4 linked regions of the Caenorhabditis elegans genome follow. The protein of the gene in region 4 interacts with the protein of the main gene of each other region in a pairwise test. Each region holds a gene or a part of one and is shown on either strand. Other genes may lie near its edges.

The links.
Region 1: the proteins of php-3 (region 4) and ccch-2 interact in a two-hybrid assay, tested with the Caenorhabditis elegans proteins (one large-scale study listed by BioGRID).
Region 2: the proteins of php-3 (region 4) and gst-7 interact in a two-hybrid assay, tested with the Caenorhabditis elegans proteins (one large-scale study listed by BioGRID).
Region 3: the proteins of php-3 (region 4) and F47G4.4 interact in a two-hybrid assay, tested with the Caenorhabditis elegans proteins (one large-scale study listed by BioGRID).

The regions. Positions count from the first base shown.
Region 1 is NC_003282.8:16,276,412-16,279,523, reverse strand, and holds ccch-2 (C3H1-type domain-containing protein), read right to left. Parts: upstream 1,323-3,112; 5' UTR 1,311-1,322; coding exon 990-1,310; intron 941-989; coding exon 701-940; 3' UTR 514-700; downstream 1-513. Other genes in the region: F38C2.7 (C3H1-type domain-containing protein), read left to right, coding at 2,133-2,744.
Region 2 is NC_003280.10:4,880,210-4,883,868, reverse strand, and holds gst-7 (putative glutathione S-transferase 7), read right to left. Parts: upstream 1,778-3,659; 5' UTR 1,751-1,777; coding exon 1,618-1,750; intron 1,066-1,617; coding exon 578-1,065; 3' UTR 511-577; downstream 1-510. Other genes in the region: gst-8 (putative glutathione S-transferase 8), read right to left, coding at 1-115; gst-6 (putative glutathione S-transferase 6), read right to left, coding at 2,884-3,371.
Region 3 is NC_003279.8:14,062,782-14,070,541, reverse strand, and holds the start of F47G4.4 (WD_REPEATS_REGION domain-containing protein), read left to right. Parts: upstream 1-1,738; 5' UTR 1,739-1,776; coding exon 1,777-1,789; intron 1,790-2,866; coding exon 2,867-2,982; intron 2,983-3,995; coding exon 3,996-4,253; intron 4,254-4,787; coding exon 4,788-4,928; intron 4,929-4,982; coding exon 4,983-5,130; intron 5,131-5,182; coding exon 5,183-5,283; intron 5,284-5,696; coding exon 5,697-5,876; intron 5,877-5,923; coding exon 5,924-6,061; intron 6,062-6,376; coding exon 6,377-6,675; intron 6,676-6,732; coding exon 6,733-7,064; intron 7,065-7,111; coding exon 7,112-7,276; intron 7,277-7,324; coding exon 7,325-7,497; intron 7,498-7,548; coding exon 7,549-7,653; 3' UTR 7,654-7,760.
Region 4 is NC_003281.10:12,073,694-12,079,581, forward strand, and holds php-3 (Homeobox protein php-3), read right to left. Parts: upstream 3,864-5,888; 5' UTR 3,810-3,863; coding exon 3,466-3,809; intron 2,241-3,465; coding exon 2,029-2,240; intron 1,977-2,028; coding exon 1,789-1,976; intron 997-1,788; coding exon 913-996; 3' UTR 525-912; downstream 1-524. Other genes in the region: Homeobox protein nob-1, read right to left, coding at 4,410-4,508, 5,563-5,798. UniProt on the Caenorhabditis elegans protein: Probable transcription factor, involved in posterior embryonic patterning, morphogenetic movements of the posterior hypodermis, and cell fate specification. May regulate expression of transcription factor dmd-3.

The sequences.
Region 1 (3,112 bases), on a different chromosome or scaffold from region 4:
AAATAGAAATTGTTTTTTTTTTAGAAAAAAATGTACTTTATCAAAAAAAAACTTTACAGTTTCATGTAGTTTTTGAATGTACATATTTACAACTAAGACGTTCTCAATACGAAGATTAAACTTTAAAAATATGTATTTTTTATAAATATACAATTTGAAATCATGAAAAATTAGATTTTTTTCACTTTTTTGTTTAGGACAACTGAGTGCCACAGGGTTCGCATAGGTTTGCATTTAAATAAAATTCTGGAAAAAACACTGAGACGTCACAGCATTGACATTCTGGTGCCATGTGAATGAGAAAATGAGTCAAATTTCAATTCTAACTTTAACTTAAATTTTGATAGAAATTTTTGTTTTTAAGAGAACATCGTATAGTAATAATAATAAAAAAACGTTCAAATTTAAAAACTAGATGAAACAGTGCCGTTTTTTTCCAAATTAAAAAAAAAGTAACTCCCGTAATAAATAAATTGGAAAATTATTTCATGACAAATACTATTTTGCGAAGAAAAATATAAATTTTATTCAAAAATGATTCAGAATAGAAAAATTTGAAAAGTGTCAAAAATAAATGTGGATTCGACAAAAACCCCAGAAATTTCCAGATAAAAATTAATTTAGAAACATAATGGTAATTATAGAAAATTAACAATAATTAAAAGTTATTAGGAATAAAACAAATTATGAAAGAATAAAGTTAAGAGAAGTCAGTGCTAGAGCTGGATGCAGATGCTCCAAAATTGTCAAGAAACTCCCGAGAAAGACCCGATGAAGGAGCAAACCATGAAGAAAACTGGGGCATCAGTGGATTTTGAGCTGGAGTTGGCTCAACAGCTCTGTGAATAAACTGACATTTTGTCCCATATTTGCAGTGTCCAGTTCTAGAGAAATTGTCACAGAGAACTGTCTTATACTTTGGGTGGTTGACTCCACGGTTCTGAAAAATTTAACACTTAAATTAAAACTTCATTGAGCTCAAAGTTTACCTTCTGTTTCAGCTGCAGCTCCTCGACACTGTGAGCAAATTTGCACTGCTCCCCGTATGAGCATGCTCGTGTGAGCTGAAACGTCTTGCAAAGAGCAGTTTTGAATGCATTTTCTTTTCTTTTCAATCGCATCATTTCTTCGTGGAGATCGTCAGGAATTGTGCATGAGTTTACTGTCTTCAAGAATGGTTGAAAATTCTGCGAGAAGCCATTTTCTTTCTGATCAAACAGTCTTGGAGAAGGTGGCTGCTGAGAGAGCCACTGAGCAACATTGTGCAATTTGGTAAAAGTTGGGACGTCAACGGCAAGTGGATTAGACATTTTGAGGGGTTTCTGAAAGTTAAACTGTTTTAGTTAACAAAAATCTCAGAAAAAACTTCTAACTCAATTTTTAATTGATCCTTAATAAGGCAAAATAGCATTCAAAGTAGAGATTTCAATAGACATACAAAATATACAGTGCAACAAAGAAAAGTTTTAGATACCGTTACAAGTCGGGCAAAAATGAAAAATATACAAAAAAAAACAATATTTTAGCGAAAAAATGAGAAAACGACCGCCCAGGATGACAGTTGTTTGCATGAATGACACAATTGTCATCCTGTCATCAGGCAACCTCTTGAACGCTGAAACTTTATCCAATCGATAGCTAGGTTAGGCTCCGCCCATTTACTGGTACATATCGTCTCCTTTTCACAGAGAGTGTGGCCTGTAAATGGGCGGAGCTTGCTATCGATTAGATGCTGTTGCAGCGTTCATTCTTTTTCCGGAAGATAGACTGCCAAATATGTCATTCACACATTTTACTCTCATCATGAGTGGTTGATCCTTTTTTGCTACTTTAATTTTTTAATAACTGTTGTTTTCTAAAATGTTATTTCTATGTTTTGTATTAGACAGAAAATATTATTCAATACACTATGACCACTATGTTTCATATAATACATGTTTGAAGCAGTAATTTTTTTGTTTTTTTTAAATATCTTTCTGAAACTCTGCTAGGATCCAGTTAGACGAAACCATTTTAATCTTTGACTTTCCACTTTTTCACTAATTTTTACTTCTTTTTAATCGTTCTACCAAATTCTTCTCTTGATATCGTTTTTCATTATTTTTTTCCAGAAACTACCCAAAACTTCTACAATGTCTGTTGAAGCAAGCAACCAAGAAAACTCTCTCTCCAGTTTCCTTCTGAAATGTGCTTTCCCAGCTGGAACTACCCCTCCATTGCTTTCTCCACCATCTTCATCAGGATCTTATGAAGAAGCCCAATTCTCACTTTTTGTGAATCAAAATGAAACTGAACAAAAATTGTTTTCTAATCAATCATTGGCCAACCGAGATCCCTGCACAATTCCAGATGAGCTTCACCAAGAAATGAAGAGTTTGAAAAAGAAAGAAGAAGCATTCAAGACATCCCTTTGTGGTTTTCACAGAAGAGGCCAAAAATGTGCTTATGGTGAAAAATGTAAATTTGCTCACAGTGTACATGAGCTCCGCTTCCCACAGACCAAAAGAAACCACCGTAACTATAAAACAGTACTTTGCAATAACTTCTCAACAACTGGGCATTGCAAGTACGGAATCAGGTGTCAGTTCATCCACAGATCTATGAACTCAACTTCTTCAAATCAATCAAATAAAATGGAAAATATTACCATTGACCTGAATGTTCAATCGGACGTTTTTCGTGCATTTGCTCTGGACTCAACAAGTTTATTGCCAAATTGGCATTGCTCAGCTCTTCTTCAATGAATTTTTTAATCCTGTTATCTTATATTAATTTTTAAATTCCCTAATGCTCAATATTTCCTCTATTTTTCCATATTTTTGGCAATTATCGTTTGTCATTTTCTATTATTTTACAAAGTAATAAAATTCTTTTCCTATCTGTGTTCTACCCATCTGTCTCAAAATTTTATAAAGGCTTTGAATCTGAAATATTTTTAAAAAATAAATTTTGACTTTTTTGTTTTCAAATTTGTAATTATACATATATTTGGAACACACAGTGTTTCGAAAATTTTAAAAAATCAATCTAAGTTTAGTTTTTGTATTAAAATGAAAACTATAGTTGGAAATGGTTAAGTAACCTTCAAATCATTAATCATATTAATGAAAAA
Region 2 (3,659 bases), on a different chromosome or scaffold from region 4:
ATTCCTCTATTGAAATTCTATGATCCTCAAAGCTTTGTCCAGCATATACAAATATCTGTCGAATAACCTCTCCAGCTCCACGGATGGGGAAATATGATAGCTTGTAGTGGACCATTATTACTACCACTTTTCAAGTAATTGGGGAGTACAAGTCTGTGATACAGTTTGAAATAAAAACCAAGAAGTTTCTATTTATACTCATATTCTCTAAGTGTGTGTGTACTGTTAAGTCATCACTGCTTTGATCGCACTCTGCTGACAACAAACCACAAATATAGTTTGGCGTTATGTCTGTTTCAATGAACTGGTTGAATTAGATAAATGTACATTAAAATAAAGAGTATATTGGAAACTTTAAAGTTTGTCATCATTTACTCTTCCCACTGCGCAGATGTTACTGACAACTCAGTTCAAAAAGTGCCTTTTCATGATGATTCGGATGTCTGAACAAATATATCGGTTGCTTCTGCTATCTTATTTTTTAGAGAACTTTTCAGAATAAATAGATTTCAATGCAATCATTTATCCCATATCAATACAAAAATACATAAAGAGACCATGTGAATTTGGAAATCATTTAGAATGGAGTAACTGGACGAGTCTCCAACCACTTCTTGATGTTGGCATTCGAGTGAACCTTTTCCTGATGAGCCTTGAATTGTGGGAATTCATCGAGAAGAGCTGCGTTGGCAGCCAGAAGATCAGCAGTGTGCTGAGCGACGAGCAAGTCGACAAAGGTCAAAGAGTCTCCAACCAAGTATCCGGATCCAGCCGACTTGAGGAAGTTAGCAAAGAATCCATAGTGCTTCTTGAATCCTGGAAGGAAGACGTCCTTGGCAAGAGCATCGAGATCTCCTTCAGCAAATCCCATCTTCACCATGAAGTATGGACGAACTTCGTTGAGGTAATCCTTGAATTGATCAGCAACCGAGTTGACTTGAGCCTCCTCCCATGCACACTTTCCATTGATTCCGAACTGACGAGCCAAGTAACGGGCGATAGCATGAGATTGGGCAAGAACCTTTCCGTCAACTTCAAGGAGTGGAAGCTGTCCGAATGGAGTGCCTGAAAAATAATATAATTAAAACCTAAAGTTCAAAGTTTTCTTTGAGTAAACAATCATTGACTCCAAACTTCTATCTCTCAGTCATACCAAGCACTTTGTTTACATCTCTAGGTGTCAAACTGCCTAGAGTTTAGCCTTGAATTTTTTTTTCCTTTTTCAAGGTCTATTCATTCGAACACCGAAATTTCAATAACTTTCAAAAAGTAACTCAATAACAACTTCAATCTACTCTAAAGGCAAAAAGGCAATTTGTGTGACCTAGTTAATAGGAACAGGAAAGGTAAGGAATATACCGTACCTGCTACTTTAACGGCTTACATCTCGGTTCTCTTAACTTTTATCAAAAAATGTTTAACTGACAATATTTAAAAGTATATTCTTCACGTATTTTGTCAGTCAAAATTTTTTTGATAAAACCAAAGACAGCTTAACTAAAAGCCTGCAACTATTTCTAAAATGAATTTTTAATTTGGAACTACTTATAAGATTTCAACTAACAATTTCAATATCTATGCACCTATTCAAACAATAATTTTCAATCCCAAACTCACTTGGCTTGACAGCTGGCCATTCCTCCTTTGGGATTCTGTTGTCCTCGAAGTCTTGTCCAGCGTAGGCCAAGATCTGACGAGCAATCTCTCCAGCTCCACGAATTGGGAAGTACGATACCTTGTAGTGGACCATTGTTGAAATAACCAAGCAAGAAATCGAGTGGTCGATGAGAAGGGTTGAACACTGAATGCCGGCCGTCTCTATTTATACCCATTTCTCAAATGTCTGTCGTCTCTCCACTCACCATATTCTGTAGTTTGTCATCATTTGCTCTACACATTGCGCGCACGTTGTTGACTAGAAATCATAAAGTGTAGTCATCGTTTTTTGTTGTTGCAATGTTACGATGAACAGAGTAGGTCAAAATAATATTGGTTGAAAAAAATATATGCAAGGTTTTGTGACTTTTCCAGATCTTTCGAAGGGAATGTTGTGTCACAATTTGTGACTACTCACAAATATAAACCCATGGCATCAATCATCTTGTTACGCTTGCCATTATTATTGAAGATACCATGATAAGAAACTACTATAACTGACACAAAAAGTCACAAAAAATATTTTTTTTTGTTTCTGAAATTTTTCCGACAGTACAACACAATTTCATAATCTCGCGCAAAAGAGGCGTAGGCATTTACCGCAGCCTACGTGCCTGCCTACAGCCTAATTTCTGGGAAGGTGCCTGATGAACAATGATTTCCTATGGAATTTGTCTTTGAAATAATTTAAGTCTCACTTTGAAACACAAACGTGCTTTCTTTTGAGGGTTATACACCTGCCTTTGAAAAGACTATCCTCCAAAAATAAATAAAAGATTACATATTTATTGTGCCCACCGAAATTTGAAAATTCTTATTATGTTCATGTTCCAGAAAACGACGCTTTTGTAATTTTTGACAATAAAAGTCAAATTAACATTATGACGTGATTGGTTTTGTGCTTTGAACATTGTGTCTCACCAGGGAATGTTCGGAAAGTTTTAGCTATGATGGTAAACCACAAAGGAAGGCGGTGTAGGTCTGATTTGTACCTAAAAGCATGCCTACTTCCCAGGCTTTTGTAAATATCCTGTATATTTCAACACTCTTGCAATGCAAAAAGCTTCTATAGAAACATCCTGCTGAAAACTTTACCATAAAATTTTTAAAAGAACAATTCATTCAAGATATTTTAGAAACATCGATTTCCATTAAAACAAATTAGCAAAAAATTGCTTCTTGAAATATGAATTAAAAAATAATACAAAATTGCAAACTCATTTCAATTTAGAATGGGTAATCTGGACGGTTTGCAATATACTTCTGAATTCTGTCGATGCTCTGAACCTTCTTACGATGTGCCAAAACCTTCTTGAACTCCTCAACAACTGCCAAATCTTTATCCAAAATATCTTGAACGTGCTGCGAAATCAAAAGATCCACCCATGTCAAAGAGTTTCCAACAAAGAAACCACTGTGATTAGATGCCAGAATGTTCTCGAAAAACTCGAAATTCTTTTTGAAAGCTGGAACAAAAACATCAGTTCTCAGTTGATCCTTGTCTCCAGGTTTGAATCCAGCAAGAACTGTTAAATATGGGGAGACATCGTTGAGATAATCCTTGAATTGATCAGCAATTGCATCCACTTCTGCCGCCTCGGTGTCATTTTGTCCAGCAATTCCGAACTCTCTGGCCAAGTACCGAGCAATTGCATATGACTGTCCCAATGGTTTTCCATCGACTTCCAAAATTGGCAATTGACCGAATGGAGTGTCTAGAAATTTGAAATTTGAGGAGAAGTGTTTTAAAATAAAATCTAATCTTAATTTTAAAAAAGTATGAAGGTCTTAGAAAATTTTTCGGATTAGTTCGATCTCCAGGAGCGACTTTTCCACAGTGTCCAAGATGTTGTCAGAAAGCACAATTCCATAAAAAGTTTCAAGCATCAAGTTTTCCTCGTACCTACAACCTTTTTTCTGAACTTCTGACTGATCACCCTAAATCAGGAAATAAAAAAAACAATCAGAAGCATAATCCCAATTTGCAAAGTGATTTTTTTAAA
Region 3 (7,760 bases), on a different chromosome or scaffold from region 4:
GTAGATTAAAAAAAATTGAAATTTTTTTTGAGCAAATTTTGAAGCCATTTTAACTTTGCCAATTTGCAAGCTATCAAAAAGTAGTTCACTAGTAAATTATAGAACTAAAATTTTACTACATTTTATTAGTTAAAAAGTTTCTGACAGCTGTTTTAGTTTTGGAGATACATGAGTTTTAAAATTGTAGATTTAAAAAATTTGAAAAACATTTTTCAAAATTTTCAAACCCCTGTAATTCTGAAACTATGAGACTTGTCAAAAAGTTGCCAACTAACAAAATTTAGCAAATTTCTTGTCAATTAATTTTTTAGTTGACAATTTTTTCTATGTTCATTTATTTTGAAGCTAGAGAGCCACAACTATATAGAATTTTATTTTTTTGAATCAATTTTCTCCAACTTTTCAAGTATTTTACGCATTATTCATACCTTAAAAGTGACATTTATTACGAAAAAGTGATAAGGGGGTACCCTATGGCAAACATGTACTCCTCCTCCTCACTCACGTTCCGTTTTTGCTCTCACTTTATTTGCTCTCTGTCTTTGCTTTTTCTTGTGTTTTTTTTTTGTGAATTTTGCTCCGTTTTCCGCTAGTTTTCCTTTTCGACTACCGAAAAAGAGCATTTTCGGTGATAAAAAATTACTTTGCAAAATTTTGCTAAACTAGAAAAAAACATTTTGTGAGGGAATTTTTTGCTGAAAAATATGAAGTTTCTTAAAACAAGAAAAGCTTTTAAAATCTATTAAAACTTTAAGTTTTTTTAAAAATCATTTTTAAATTTTATAAATATAAAATTATTTAATTTTTAACCACCTTTTCGAAACATTGATATCTTTAACTATTATCATATTTTCAACAAATTTTTCATATTTTGTTAAATTGTAAAAATAAAATTTAAAATATGATAATAGGAAAAGATTTCAACGTTTCAAAAATGTGGTTAAAAATGAAAATTAAAAAAAAATCTTAAATTTGTTTTACTGTTACATCTTTAAAAACTACAAAATTTATTTCAAAATTTATTTTTGAAAATTGTTTAAACTAAGCAAATTTAAAAAAGTTTTAAATCACTCCAACTTCAAAAAAAATTAAAAATTGTTGTGGTTTTTTTTATTTTTAGTTTGAACTTCCATATTTCAAAAACTACTGAATTAATTAAAAAGTTGTCAACTAACAAAATAAAGGAAATTTTTTGCTTAACATTTTGTAAATTGACAACTTTTTGATAACTTTTCACAAATTTGAGGTATGGTAGTTTTTTCTTTTATAACTTTTTATTGGTGGCAGCTATCAAAAAGTTGGCAACTAAAAAAATGGTGCAAATGTTATGCTTAACATTTTGATAGTTGACAATTTTTAAAAATCTTCAGTTTCCCAGAAGTTATGCCACTTTTTCTCTCCCCCCCCCCCTCCTCGAGTTCTTCCTTGTTTTCATCTATTTTCGGCCCTTTTTCCAAAATTCATTGGATTGATTCTTTCCAATGTTTTTCAATGTTTTTTTCATGGTGTTCGGTTTTAGGATTTTAATTGAAAACACACACCCTGGTGTCTATTTTGTCTATTTTCCCGAAAAAAAAATCCGAAAATAAAATTTTCCCCCTTCTTTCTGTCTCGACGCTCTATAAATTCAATTTCCCTCTTTTTTTCTCACTTTTTCTATTTTTTTTTCACTACTGTACAGCTCTTTAAACTGCGGTTATTTTTGGAAATTTCAGCTAATTTCAAGATTTTTTTTCAGTGTCATATTCTTCCCATGCGGAGCAAATTGTACAAAACATGAAAATTGAAGGTTGGTTTTGATTTTTTTAATTTAGAAAATGCTAATTTTAATTAAAAATACATATGTATGCTGGTTACTAAAAAAATTTCAAAAAAATTTTCCAATTTTCAAAAAAAAAATTTTTTCGAGATTTTTTCAAACTTTCATATCTCCAAAACTACGAGAGCTATTAAAATGTTGCCAACTATCAAAACATAGAAAATTGTGTGATAAACATTTTCATCGTTGACAAAATTTTGATAGCCTTGCTCTCCGCAGAGTTAGAGGAGCCTGAAGTTTGTTGGTACTGCGTTCAGGCTGACTGGAATCTTATAGGGTAACAACTATAGGTTTTAAGGTACTTTTACAGTAAAAATTAATAAAATATTGCTCTTTACAATGTCATAAGTAAAATTTAGAAAAAAACCACAATTTTGAACATTTGAAAGTTTTTGACCAAAAATGTTTTTTTTTCTCAAAAAACATATTTCTCCAAAATTTCTAAAATTTTGCTCACAATCAGACTTTAAATTTCATCCAAATCTATTCCAAACTCTCTAACTATGCCAATTGATGACGTAAACTCTAACCCAAGCTTCTGGGGTGGAAAAGTAATTAAATTTTAGTATTGTGGTGCACCCGCCTGGAAATTGGAAATTGGATGTGTTCCATGCTCCTCTAAGAGAAAAGAGGGCCGTAAAAATAAAAGTACAAATGTATTCCCAAAGGGTTTGTCTAAATTTGGAGGAGAAAAAAAAAATTTGTTCGAATCTCAAAATATAAAATTTCCAATTATAAATTAAAAATTTGCACTTTTGGATTAGTATATATTGAAAATTTCAGAGCCGTAGCTTAACTTTGCACTGAGTTATAAGGCTTCAAAGTATCTAGTTCAACCGCGACGCAACCGCGCCGCACCTACTTAACTTCAAAGCCCTGTAACTCAGCTCAAAATTGACCTACAGCTTTGAAATTTTTTCTCAGAGCTGATTTTAAATTAAGCTTTCATTATCGTTAGCAACCAATTCATTGGGCCGCGACGCAACCGCGTCGCTTCAACCAAATTTTGAAACTCCTTAACATATAGCAACCTTTCCCATTTTTCAGTGGTATCGGCACTACCGCACTCGACGGTCCATTCGGCAGTCCTTTCGCGTCGACACCGCTCCGTCATCTGCGCGGGACCATACGAAGTGCTTCCACTGGAGGGGTGTTCTGAGCCGGTAAGTGTTCTTTTTGTAGTCCAGGGCCATCTGCTTATAATGAGTGGGACCACATGTTGCGAGTCTCTTTCCAGAGCAATTATTCATTGTTTTGGGGCGTTTTTGGGGTCAGACGGATATAAAAGGATTATCCAGATTTTTAAAAAATCTTACATTGTTCACAGTTTGCAGTCAAACTTTGGAAAAAACCTAAATTACAGTGTCAAAAAATTTCAGAGCTCTCGGTCTTTTGAGAGCTAAGATATGAAGCTTTAGAATTTTGACCAGGCGTTGCGGTCGCGTCGCGGCCACCTCCTAAACTTTAAAGCTTGATAAATTTGCTCACCAAGGTCCTAAAGCTCTGACATTTTTGCAGAAGCCTCAAAATTACATGTACTATTCAAATATCTAGCTTTAAACTTTTTAAGCAACAAAAAAAATTTTCGGCCACCCATTTAATTTCCTCCTCTTCCGATCTTCCCCCACCCCGTATAATCCTCTTTGTACCTAACGAGCCGTCAATAATCCCCTCGGCACTTTCGCTGCTTATCGAACCGTAGTTGTCAATTTGAGAAGTGTTACTGTCTCTGCGTCTCGCCTCTCTAATAACAAGATTCTGCCCAGCGATAAGTTTTGATCCGGAATTCTCATGGGGATGCGAACATTGAAAAAGGGTGTGAAAGGGTTCCATATCTAGATGATTGATCTGCTGGGCAGGGAATTTGAAAAGTCTTTGGGAAGGGGGAGCTGGAAAATTTTCAATAGGTTCATAACTTGACAGGAAATGTTGAAAAGAATAGCTCTAGCCGATCTAAAACTTCAGAAAAAATTTCAGAGCTCTGGCACGCTTTGGAGCATAGTTATGGTGCATCGAAAATTGGCGCATGCGGCGCGGTCGCGTCGCGGTTATCTAACTTGGCTCAAAATGGTCCTAGAGCTCTGAAATTTTTTGAGTGACTCTGTTAAGTTTACCACATTCTAATTTTCTATAAAAGCTTGAAATGTACCTATTTATACAAAAACAAATTTTTCAGCTCCCAAGCACCTCAACTCTCAGTGAGCTACCCATCGAGTGCCTCCGACTCTCCACAGATGAACGGACGATCGGTGCGGCGACAAATGCGATTCTCAAAGTTGCGGATATTATAACAGGTCACGAGGTGCGGAATCTAACGGGACACACCTTGCCAATAACCTCCCTAGCCGCTAGCAAGTTCAACCCTTACTGCTGGTACACCGGGTCATCGGATTGTGATTGGACGCAGTGGGATACTAGGATGAATCCGTCTAAAGTGAGTTGAAAAGTGCAAAAATACTATCCAAAAAGTGTCCAAGCTTCAAATCCTCTGTGATACCGAGCCGCGACGCAACCGCGACGCGTGCCCAAATTTTTATCAAAAATGGCAGATAAATACTAGATAACACTATTGGCCAAATTTCACACCTCCGACTCAATTGTGAGCAAAGCTTTGACATTTTAAAAATTGAGGTAGACCGCGACGCGACACGCGACGCACTGCCGAAATTTTATGGCACCGTAACTTTGCTCCCAGTCGTCGTAGGATTTTGAAACTTTTTGTGAAAGCATTCTCTAGAAACAGACTTTTTTATAGACTTTCAACGCGCGTTGTAAAAGAAACTTTCTAATTTTGAAGATCGACCGCGACGCGACACGCGACGCACGCCCAAAACTTCAATACCACATAACTTAGCCCATAGTGGTCCAAATTTTCTGAAACTTTTTGTAATCACCATATCTGAAATAAAGCAGTTTTTTAAAGCGTTCCCAAATTTTCTGAAACTTTTCAAAATATAATGATTTTCAGATTTTCGGGTCCAAAACCCCTGGCGTTGTTCGAAGTATCGCATTATCACCTGGTGATCGCTATGTAGCAGTTGGCACCGACGAAACTATACAGATTTTCGACGCCAGGCAGCGGGAATTTATCAAAACTTTTAACTGTTCGGTAGGTGCTTTTCACTGGAATTTCTGACCATTTTTAAAAAATCAAATTTTGCAGGGTCACGCACTAGAGCTTCACCCCAGCGATGTGCTCCTCTCCTCCGTTGGTCATGATAGGATAGTTCGGTTTTTCTGCCTAGAGACTTTTGAAATGATATCTCAATCCGATCCGTTTCTGGATGATATTCAAGCCAGCGCTTTTGATAGTAAGAATTATATTTAATTTTGGGCCAAAAACATCAAAAAATTGAATTTCAGCCCACGTCATGATAGCTGCTACCAATGATTCTATCAACCTGCTCACTTGGGAGCCCTGCTGTGATATTCTAACGACAGTACCTCTGAAAAATGTGGAGAAGGTAGGGATAGTAACTTGACAACACTTTTGGCTCACTGAAAAATGTGAGCAAAAAGTGTTGTCAGTGTGTGCTCTAGTATTAAAGATCCTGTAACTTGCGTACCAGTTGACGTAGAGTCTTCAAATTTTTAGACGACACTTGTAAGCTTTCACCCACGCGTTGCGGTTGCGTCGCGGCTTGGCCATCAAATTTCTTAGCTCTGTAACTTAGCCAACTAGTAGTCCTATAGACTTGAAACTTAGTCAAAAAGTCACATCGGAAAGCAAATTCCTATCTTATTTTCATGAATCCAAATTTCTAAAAATGTTCATTTTAAGGCATTAACCCAACATTTCAACGCCAGTTATGATTGATTATTTTTTGGCGGAGATTCCAATCTTCTTCCCTTTGTTATGAATTCCATGCCATTTCAGGTCGTCAACGTGAATGCAAACGGTCTGGATTTAGACTTTATTTGCATTGGAGACAACACTGAACGTCTCGAAATGCGCACCTACGCTATAGAAGAGCTGCTCTCCTATTCGCCGAGCCACGAGCTCTGCGGGAGCATTTACGAGGAGGATGAGGATGTGGATAACTCGCCGATTGATGAGGTATTAGCTTTGGGTTTGTACTTGGGGTTAATGTAGGAATTTTCCAGGTAAAAGCGCTACCGGAGCTCACAGAGTTATCGAATTTGCCGCCGAGGTCGCCTGGCTTGTCATGTGAAGAGACGGAGACGTCAGCGTCACCTGTGAATAGTAGCAGCAGCCATTCTAGCCCGACTAGTCCCGTTAAGGTAAGAATAAATTTTTGTCAGAGGCCCATATCTTAAGTACGGACTGCTTCTGGGCCAGTTTAAAAGGCTTCCGAGTCTCATTTTATTGGCCTAAAAACTCGTAAGCTGTCTCAAGTCGTTAGTCTCAATTGCAATTTTCCAGTTTTAGACCAAAGTCTGTATCTAAGTTCAATCCCCTCAATCTTCCTCACAAGACAGTCTTTGAGCTTTGTAAAACCTAAAAGAGCTCTCCATATATTTTCAAACCCTCTAGGGAGTTCCCTCTCCCCTGCTCCAACAGCCGCAGCTTGACATCCAACCTCTTAAATCTTACAGCCAGCTCCCGTCAAACACCGATCGGCATCTCAGAAGCTTCCTGGAAAATCGACCAAGACCCTGAACCCAAAACCAGCGGGGTCCACACGCTCTGTGACCCCAGTCTCCACAAAGCCACCTCGAACATTTGGCACCGCAAAGAGTGTGATTGTCTCGTCGAAGCCATCACTAAGCGGGTACAATAACCGCGCGAATCCGTCGCCTTCTATGTCGGATTTGAGGACGACAAAGTCGATGGCAGGGTCTACGACGTCTTTGTTGAGTGAGAGGGCTCCGAAGAAGCGGTCAACGTCGAGCCGGTAAGCAGGACTAGAGGAAGTAAAGTTTCAAAACTCTAAAACTTTCCAATTTTCCAGCCGTAACCAAGAGCCCATCACCATCACCTACATTGGCCGCCCACGTACCCCTAGCGAAGGAGACGTCGCATCTACAGTATCCTCCTCCACATCCCGCAACCGTCGCCCATCGCCTTCCGTGGCGAAGAAGACCTCCCCTCCGTCAATCTACGCGATCACCTCTTCCCCGGCCAAGCGTGCCTCCTCCACCGCTTCAGGGCCTACTGCCAGACGCCAGAATTCCACGTCATCGGTGACCTCTACCACGTCGGCCAAGACGCCTGTAGGGGTCTGGGGAGCTTGTATAGAAACTGTACATGACATCGGGATAGTTGCGAAGAAGGAGAATAGAAGTGAGTTATTTAGGATCTAGCTTGAAGCGTTAACTACTGGAATTCAGACATCCGACGGCTCAAGATGCTTACCTCCCGTCGAACGAGCAACGTGGATATCCCTCCAGAAGTGTGCTCCGATGAGCAACTAGTGTTAACCGCCACGAGGATACTGAGCAGGAGGAACGATTGGTCATTGAACAGCTGTCATGCCTACCTTCCAGTCATAATAGGTAATCTTGCTTGGTAGTGAAGGTCGTAATGATGTTTTGAACTTTCAGACAACATAGCCAGTGTAGACGTTACAAATCGAGCTATAGCCCTGGAGGGTCTCGCAGCGATCGCTGACACCCTGGGGGAGAGGCTCGTGAAGTTTGCGTCCATGAACTCCCATAGGATAGGAGTAGATGTGGCGGCGGAGGAGAGGGCCGAGAAGGCGAAGGCATGTGTTCAGGTAGGCATCTTGTAGGGGTTTTGCCCTTATTAACCCTACAAATAATTCCAGCACCTCCGCTCCCTGGTCAAAAAACGCGACTGGTACTACAAACAACTCGACGAGCCATCCATTCTCAAACTCGACCCGATTCTAGAGCTTTTAAAGAAGATCTAGCTACCTCATCTGTGATATATTGTTAAGCATTCCCACCACCACTCGCATTTTTGTTCTTTTGTCTTGTCTTTCAGTCATTTGGGTCAGAGATTTTCAGGTTTCTCTAC
Region 4 (5,888 bases):
AGGCCCATTTTGTTCAAAATTTGTGAAAATTCAGGCCCATTTTGCTCAAAATTTGTGAAAATTTAGGCCCATTTTGCTCAAAATTTGTGAATATTTAGGCCCATTTTGTTCAAAATTTGTGAAAATTTAGGTCCACCACGGGGTTCTGGCCTTCCTCATTGAATTTTTCGCGCTCCATTGACAATCGCCTGTCGGACAACGCGTGGAAAAGTGTCGTGTACTCCACACGGACAATTACATTTAGTTTTACAATCGAGCCGCGACGCGACACGCAACGCACCGTAAATCTACCCCAGATGTGGCCGAGCCATAATGGCCTAGTTCGGCAAACTCTTCCATTTCAATTTATGAGGGAAGCCAGAAATCCGTGTAAATGGCGAAACACAATCTAACTTTTGAAAGATTCAAAAAAACTGTTTAAAAAATTTGTTTTTTCAGAAAATCCGATACAAAAAAAAGTTAAAATTAAAAAAAAGATTATTGAGGGAATATATTGAGGAGAGTAAAGTAGTTTGTACCGGTAAATTGAATTTATTAAATGCGGATCAATGGTGGTGATATAATGAAGTAGAACATTTGAGCTAAGGTTGAGAGAGAGAGATGGAAGAAAAAAAAAGAAGTTCAATATTCACCTAAAAGGAAACAGAAAACTTTTCAGGAAACATTTCAAGTTGGTATGGTTTTTGGCAAATTTAGACCCAGGTGGCACGTGGTGTCAGAGTGTCACATGTCGGTTTGATCTACTTAGATCTACAAAAAATGCGGCAGAATTCTCAACTGATTTCGTATGGTTAAGAACGTGCTGACGTCACATTTTTTGGGCGAAAAATTCCCGCATTTTTTGTAGATCAAACCGTAATGGGACAGAAAGGCACCGCGTGAGGTGGGGCAATTACAATAAAGTATTTCGAGTTAATCCAATCCAGGTGGCATCAGCATTCCAGTTGGATCTCCAGATGTTCGTTGCTTTTGCTTCTTATCTTTCATTCGTCGGTTCTGAAAATAATATAAATATTACTGGAAGTCAAAATTCTGAAAATGCGTATTGCACAACATATTTGACGCGCAAAATATCTCATAGCGAAAACTACTCTTTAAATGACTACTGTAGTGTCGACTTACGAGCTCAATTTTCGAAACTAACTTTTTTTTTGAATTGTGACAGCTATCACGTGGAGTCAGAGTGTCCCATTTCGGATTGATCTACGTTGATCTACAAAAAATGCGGCAGAGTTCTCAACTGATTTTACATGGTTAAGAACGTTCAAACGTCACATTTTTAGGGCAAAAAATTCCCGCATTTTTTGTAGATCAAACCGTCATGGGTCAGCCTGGCACCACGTGAGCTATATTAATTTGTTTCTTTTGTTTAATAATAATATTCTATCGATAAATTAATAATCCATTTTAAAACTCGAGCCCGTATTACTGTAGTTTTCGCTACGAGATATTTTGCGCAAAACGCATCCTCGGAATCTAGTGTTTTCTTAGTAATCAATAGATGCAGAATTTCTGATACACGCAGTTATACGATTATTGAATCAAATTGTCCATTTGGAATGAAACATCTTAATAATAAGTAGGGCATCCGTGTAGCCTGCCTGCCTGCCTGGCCTCAAGGCGACCTTCGCCTGCCTATCGCCTCAATCTGCGCTTTTTCATCTATTAATTTTATTTTCATCACATTTGAAATTTGAAAATTCACGTCAAAATGCAAAAAAGAGGCGGTCAGGTTTCAGGCAGGCCCCGAAGCCGCGCCTGCCTACCATGGAAGCCAAAAATACTCACTTGGAACCAAATTTTGACTTGTCGCTCAGTCAAATGCAAGTACTTTGCAAGTTCCCACCGCTTCTGCTTACTGACGTAGGTATTGTACAAAAACTCTTTTTCCAACTCCAATGTCTGCGCTTTCGTATACGGCTTCCTCTTTTTACGCATTGCGTGTGAAGAGGACGTCCATTCTAGTTGACCACCGTCTGAAATAAAAATTTTCAAAAAAACTTCAAAAGCTTAAAAACTTTAACAAACCATTCAAATTTCCATCTAAACTTGGCATTGAGTAGTTTGCAAACGGATATTGTTGTGGATAAGAGTATGGCCAAGAAGATGCAGCAAGACTATTTGAATAGAAATCATTGTACATTGATTGATTAACCATCATATTAAACTCTGTTGGAAATCGACCAGCATTGAATGGGTACATTCCGGCTGCAGCCGCTGCTGGCATTGACATACCACTGCTGAAATTGATTTTATTGGTTTTTGTGTTGAGAACACATACTTGGTGTCACAGTGTCTCATTTCGGCTTGATCTACGTAGATCTACAAAAAATGCGGCAGAGTTCTCAACTGATTTTGCATGGTTAAGAACGTGCTGACGTCACATTTTTTGGGCAAAAAAAATCACGCATTTTTTCTAGATCAAACCGTAATGGGACAGTCTGGCACTACGTGTACTTATTGAATTAAGAATATGAAATTTATAATGTCGGGGTATTTTTTGTATATCTTAAAATTAAAAAAAAACAACTTTCGGCAAATTTTGGCTACTTTTCAAAACAAATCAATAATTTTCGGTAACTATCGGCAATTTTTGGCAATTTTTGGCATTTTTTGAAAACTATCCGCAGCTATCGACCACTTTCGACAAATGTTGACACTGTTTAACAAATTTTCAGAAAGTTCAATAACTTCTGAAAACTATCGGCAACTATCGACAACTGGCAGCCTAAAAGTTGCCGAGCTTCCAATTTTTCGAAAAAATTTCGGCAATTTTTGTGCAATCGGCAAATTGGCAAATTGCCGGTTTGCCAATTTGCCGAGTGGCCGGCTTTTTCGATTTTCAAATTAAATGTAGGAGCATTCATAGAATGCGTAAAATTTTGCCCATTAAAATTGAACTTTTGAAATTTCCAAAAAAAATGTGCAAAACCACAATTTGCCGGTTTGCCGATAGGCCGAAAGTTACAATTTCGCCAATTTGCCGGAATTTTTTGATTCTGACAATTTGCCAATTTGCCGAGTGGCCGGCTTTTTTGATTTTCAAAATAAATGTAGGAGCATTCATAGAATGCGTAAAATTTTGCCCATTAAAATTGAAACTCTGAATTTTCGAAAAAAAAATTGCAAAACCACAATTTGCCGGTTTGCCTATTTGCCTGAAGTTTTCAATTCCGGCAATTTGCCGATTTGCCGGAAATTTTTGATTCCGGCAATTTGCCGATTTGCCGTAAAAAATCGTTTGCCGCCCACCCCTGATTATCAAGGCTATTTATAATTCGAAATTTTTCGGGGCCGGCCGCTGAAGTTGCCGAAAGAAAATTAGGCGTTTAGGAACTTCATGCTTATGGAAATGGGCAAAAATTTGGCTATCTATTGCCGAAGTTGTGGTAATTGTCAAATTTGTATTCTAGTTAAAATTAAAAAGTTTCCACTTGACCGCGATATTTAAAATACTTAACAAACCTCGTTGGGAGTGGTGCAACCTGAGGACTGGAAGCAGTGTCGGATCCTCGTTCCGAATGATTGTCCGCTTGTGTCCTTGATAAATTGTTCGATGCAGAACTGCTGGAACCACTAGAAACACCAGATGATCCAGATACAGATTGCTGCAGTTGTGCAGCTCTTGTCGACCAAAAGTTGTGTTGCATTGCTGCTGCTGCCGCCGAAGACGTTGTTGCAGGAGAATCCGAACGTTTAATGAACGGAGACGTCGGTGATTCATCATGAGTTTCATGAGAATCAGAGCTCTTCACAAATGGGGGTGGCATATTAGAATTGTTCATCATCTGTTGCATCACCGAAATCATTAGGATGATGACGGGAGCTCGCTGATGTTCGGGCGTTGTCTACCGTGAGCAAGCCTGCAAGAAAAGCACTATTTTTGGGGTTTCAGCGGGGAGAGATACTAAAGAAAAGTGGTAAGGTCGGGGGTAAAACGAGGTTGTTAGCGGAAAACAAAAACAGGTTTGGCAAAGACCCAAAAGTGGTGCTTTTCTCTGTGGCATTGCTGGGGGGTAGAGAACGAACATCGGCTCGACGGAGGAGCAAGTAGTACAGGAAGTACAGGATACACTGACAGACATACACGTACAGAGAAAAACGAAACAACTTTATGGGTGCCTTGCCAATTGAAAAAAAAGAGTTATTAAATCATGAAAAAGGAAAAAGAAAGTTGAACTTGAATCGAAAAAAGAGTCAAAGAGGACGACAAACAATAAGGGAAAAAATATAGTGAACGGTGTCTAGGTACCGGTTGGAGAGAACGAAGAATGGGCTAAAAACACAACCCTGTGCAAACGAGATTTGGGACAAAAATTATGAAATTGAGAGAGAAGAGAGCAAATTGAATAATGAATAAGAATCAGAAAAAAATCATTAGTTAGAACACTTTGTGTAAATAGAGAAAATCAGTTGATCAATCGCTCGATGCACGGAGTGACTGGAGCACCGTGGGGGAATGGCCCGGAATGTCGTTGACGCAGTTTCTTGTCCTTCATTCGTCGATTCTGAAACAGTGAAGTTAAGAGAAAGCAAAACAATTCATGCAATGTTAAAATGGTTGGAGTTTAGACAAAACAACATATTTACGGTTTTTGACAATGTTCAGGCGCGGTTTCAGGTTTCTAAAGTTTTCAATTATTTCTCATGGTAGGCAGATGCGGTTTCAAGGCCTGATGCCTGCCTGAAACCTGCTCACCTTTTGCCTCCTTTTTGCACATTTCCATTTTTACGTGAATTCACAAATGTCCAACTTATTTATTTGCACTCTGATAATTAATTACGAATGTTACTTTAGTTCAAAAAAGTGTGGCTACAAAAAGTGGTGCCAGGCTGTCCCATTACGGTGTGATCTACAAAAATGCGGGAATTTCTTCCTAAAAAAAGGTGACGTCAGCACGTTCTTAACCATGTGAAATCAGTTGTGAACTCTGCGCCTCTTATCCCGCATTTTTTGTAGATCAACGTAGATCAATCCGAAATGGGATACTCTGACACCACGTGCTGAAAAGTAATTTTTAACTTTTAAAGTATGGTTATTGATGGATTAGCGCCAGTGAGGAAATTGTTAAAAACTACTCCAGTGGTGCCAAAATGATAGCAAAACTTTTCCAAAAAAATTTTGAAAATTTTGACAAGTTTGACAAGTTTGAAAAGTGACAATTACTCAGTTTTTGAAAGTCATAATTTTGGAAGTCTGCCAAAAAAATTCCTATAAAACATTCTAGAGGTCGGAACAGGTTTAAATATTTGGCATTTTGCCAAAACTTTTCTGGAAATTTTAAAAAATTTTTCAATTTTTTCGAGTTCGTTTTGGCTGGCGCTAAATATTGTATTTTTTCAATTATTAGTGCCCAAACCTTGTAAATGTTCAAAATATTGAAATTTAGTATTTTTCAGATGTTCGTTTTTTGAAAATCCAGAGAAGCTCAAAATTAATTTTTAAAAATGAGGAAATTTGGGAATTTACCAAAATTTCTGGAATTTTTTTCATTAGGACATTAGATAAAAATTCACATTTATGATCTCTAGACTTTCCGCTGAATACTGCCTATAACATACCTGGAACCAGACCTTGACCTGCTTCTCATCAAGCATCAATTGTGCAGAGAGTTCTGATCTCCGCTTATTCGTGAGATATTGATTGACAGAATACTCGTACTCAAGTCTTGATATCTGATCTTTCTTGTACGGTTGTCGCTTCTTCTTCCCGTCATGTGAGATTGCCCACGGAAGATGCATTGCAGCGTTCGGAGTTGTTGCCGCACTGCTTCCAGCCGTCGTTGGAATTGTGATATCTGAAAATAAAATATTTTGATTGCAGTAAATCAATAACTATAAAACAAGATGGAGCATATATATATTCTGAGACGTCTGTGTGATGACAC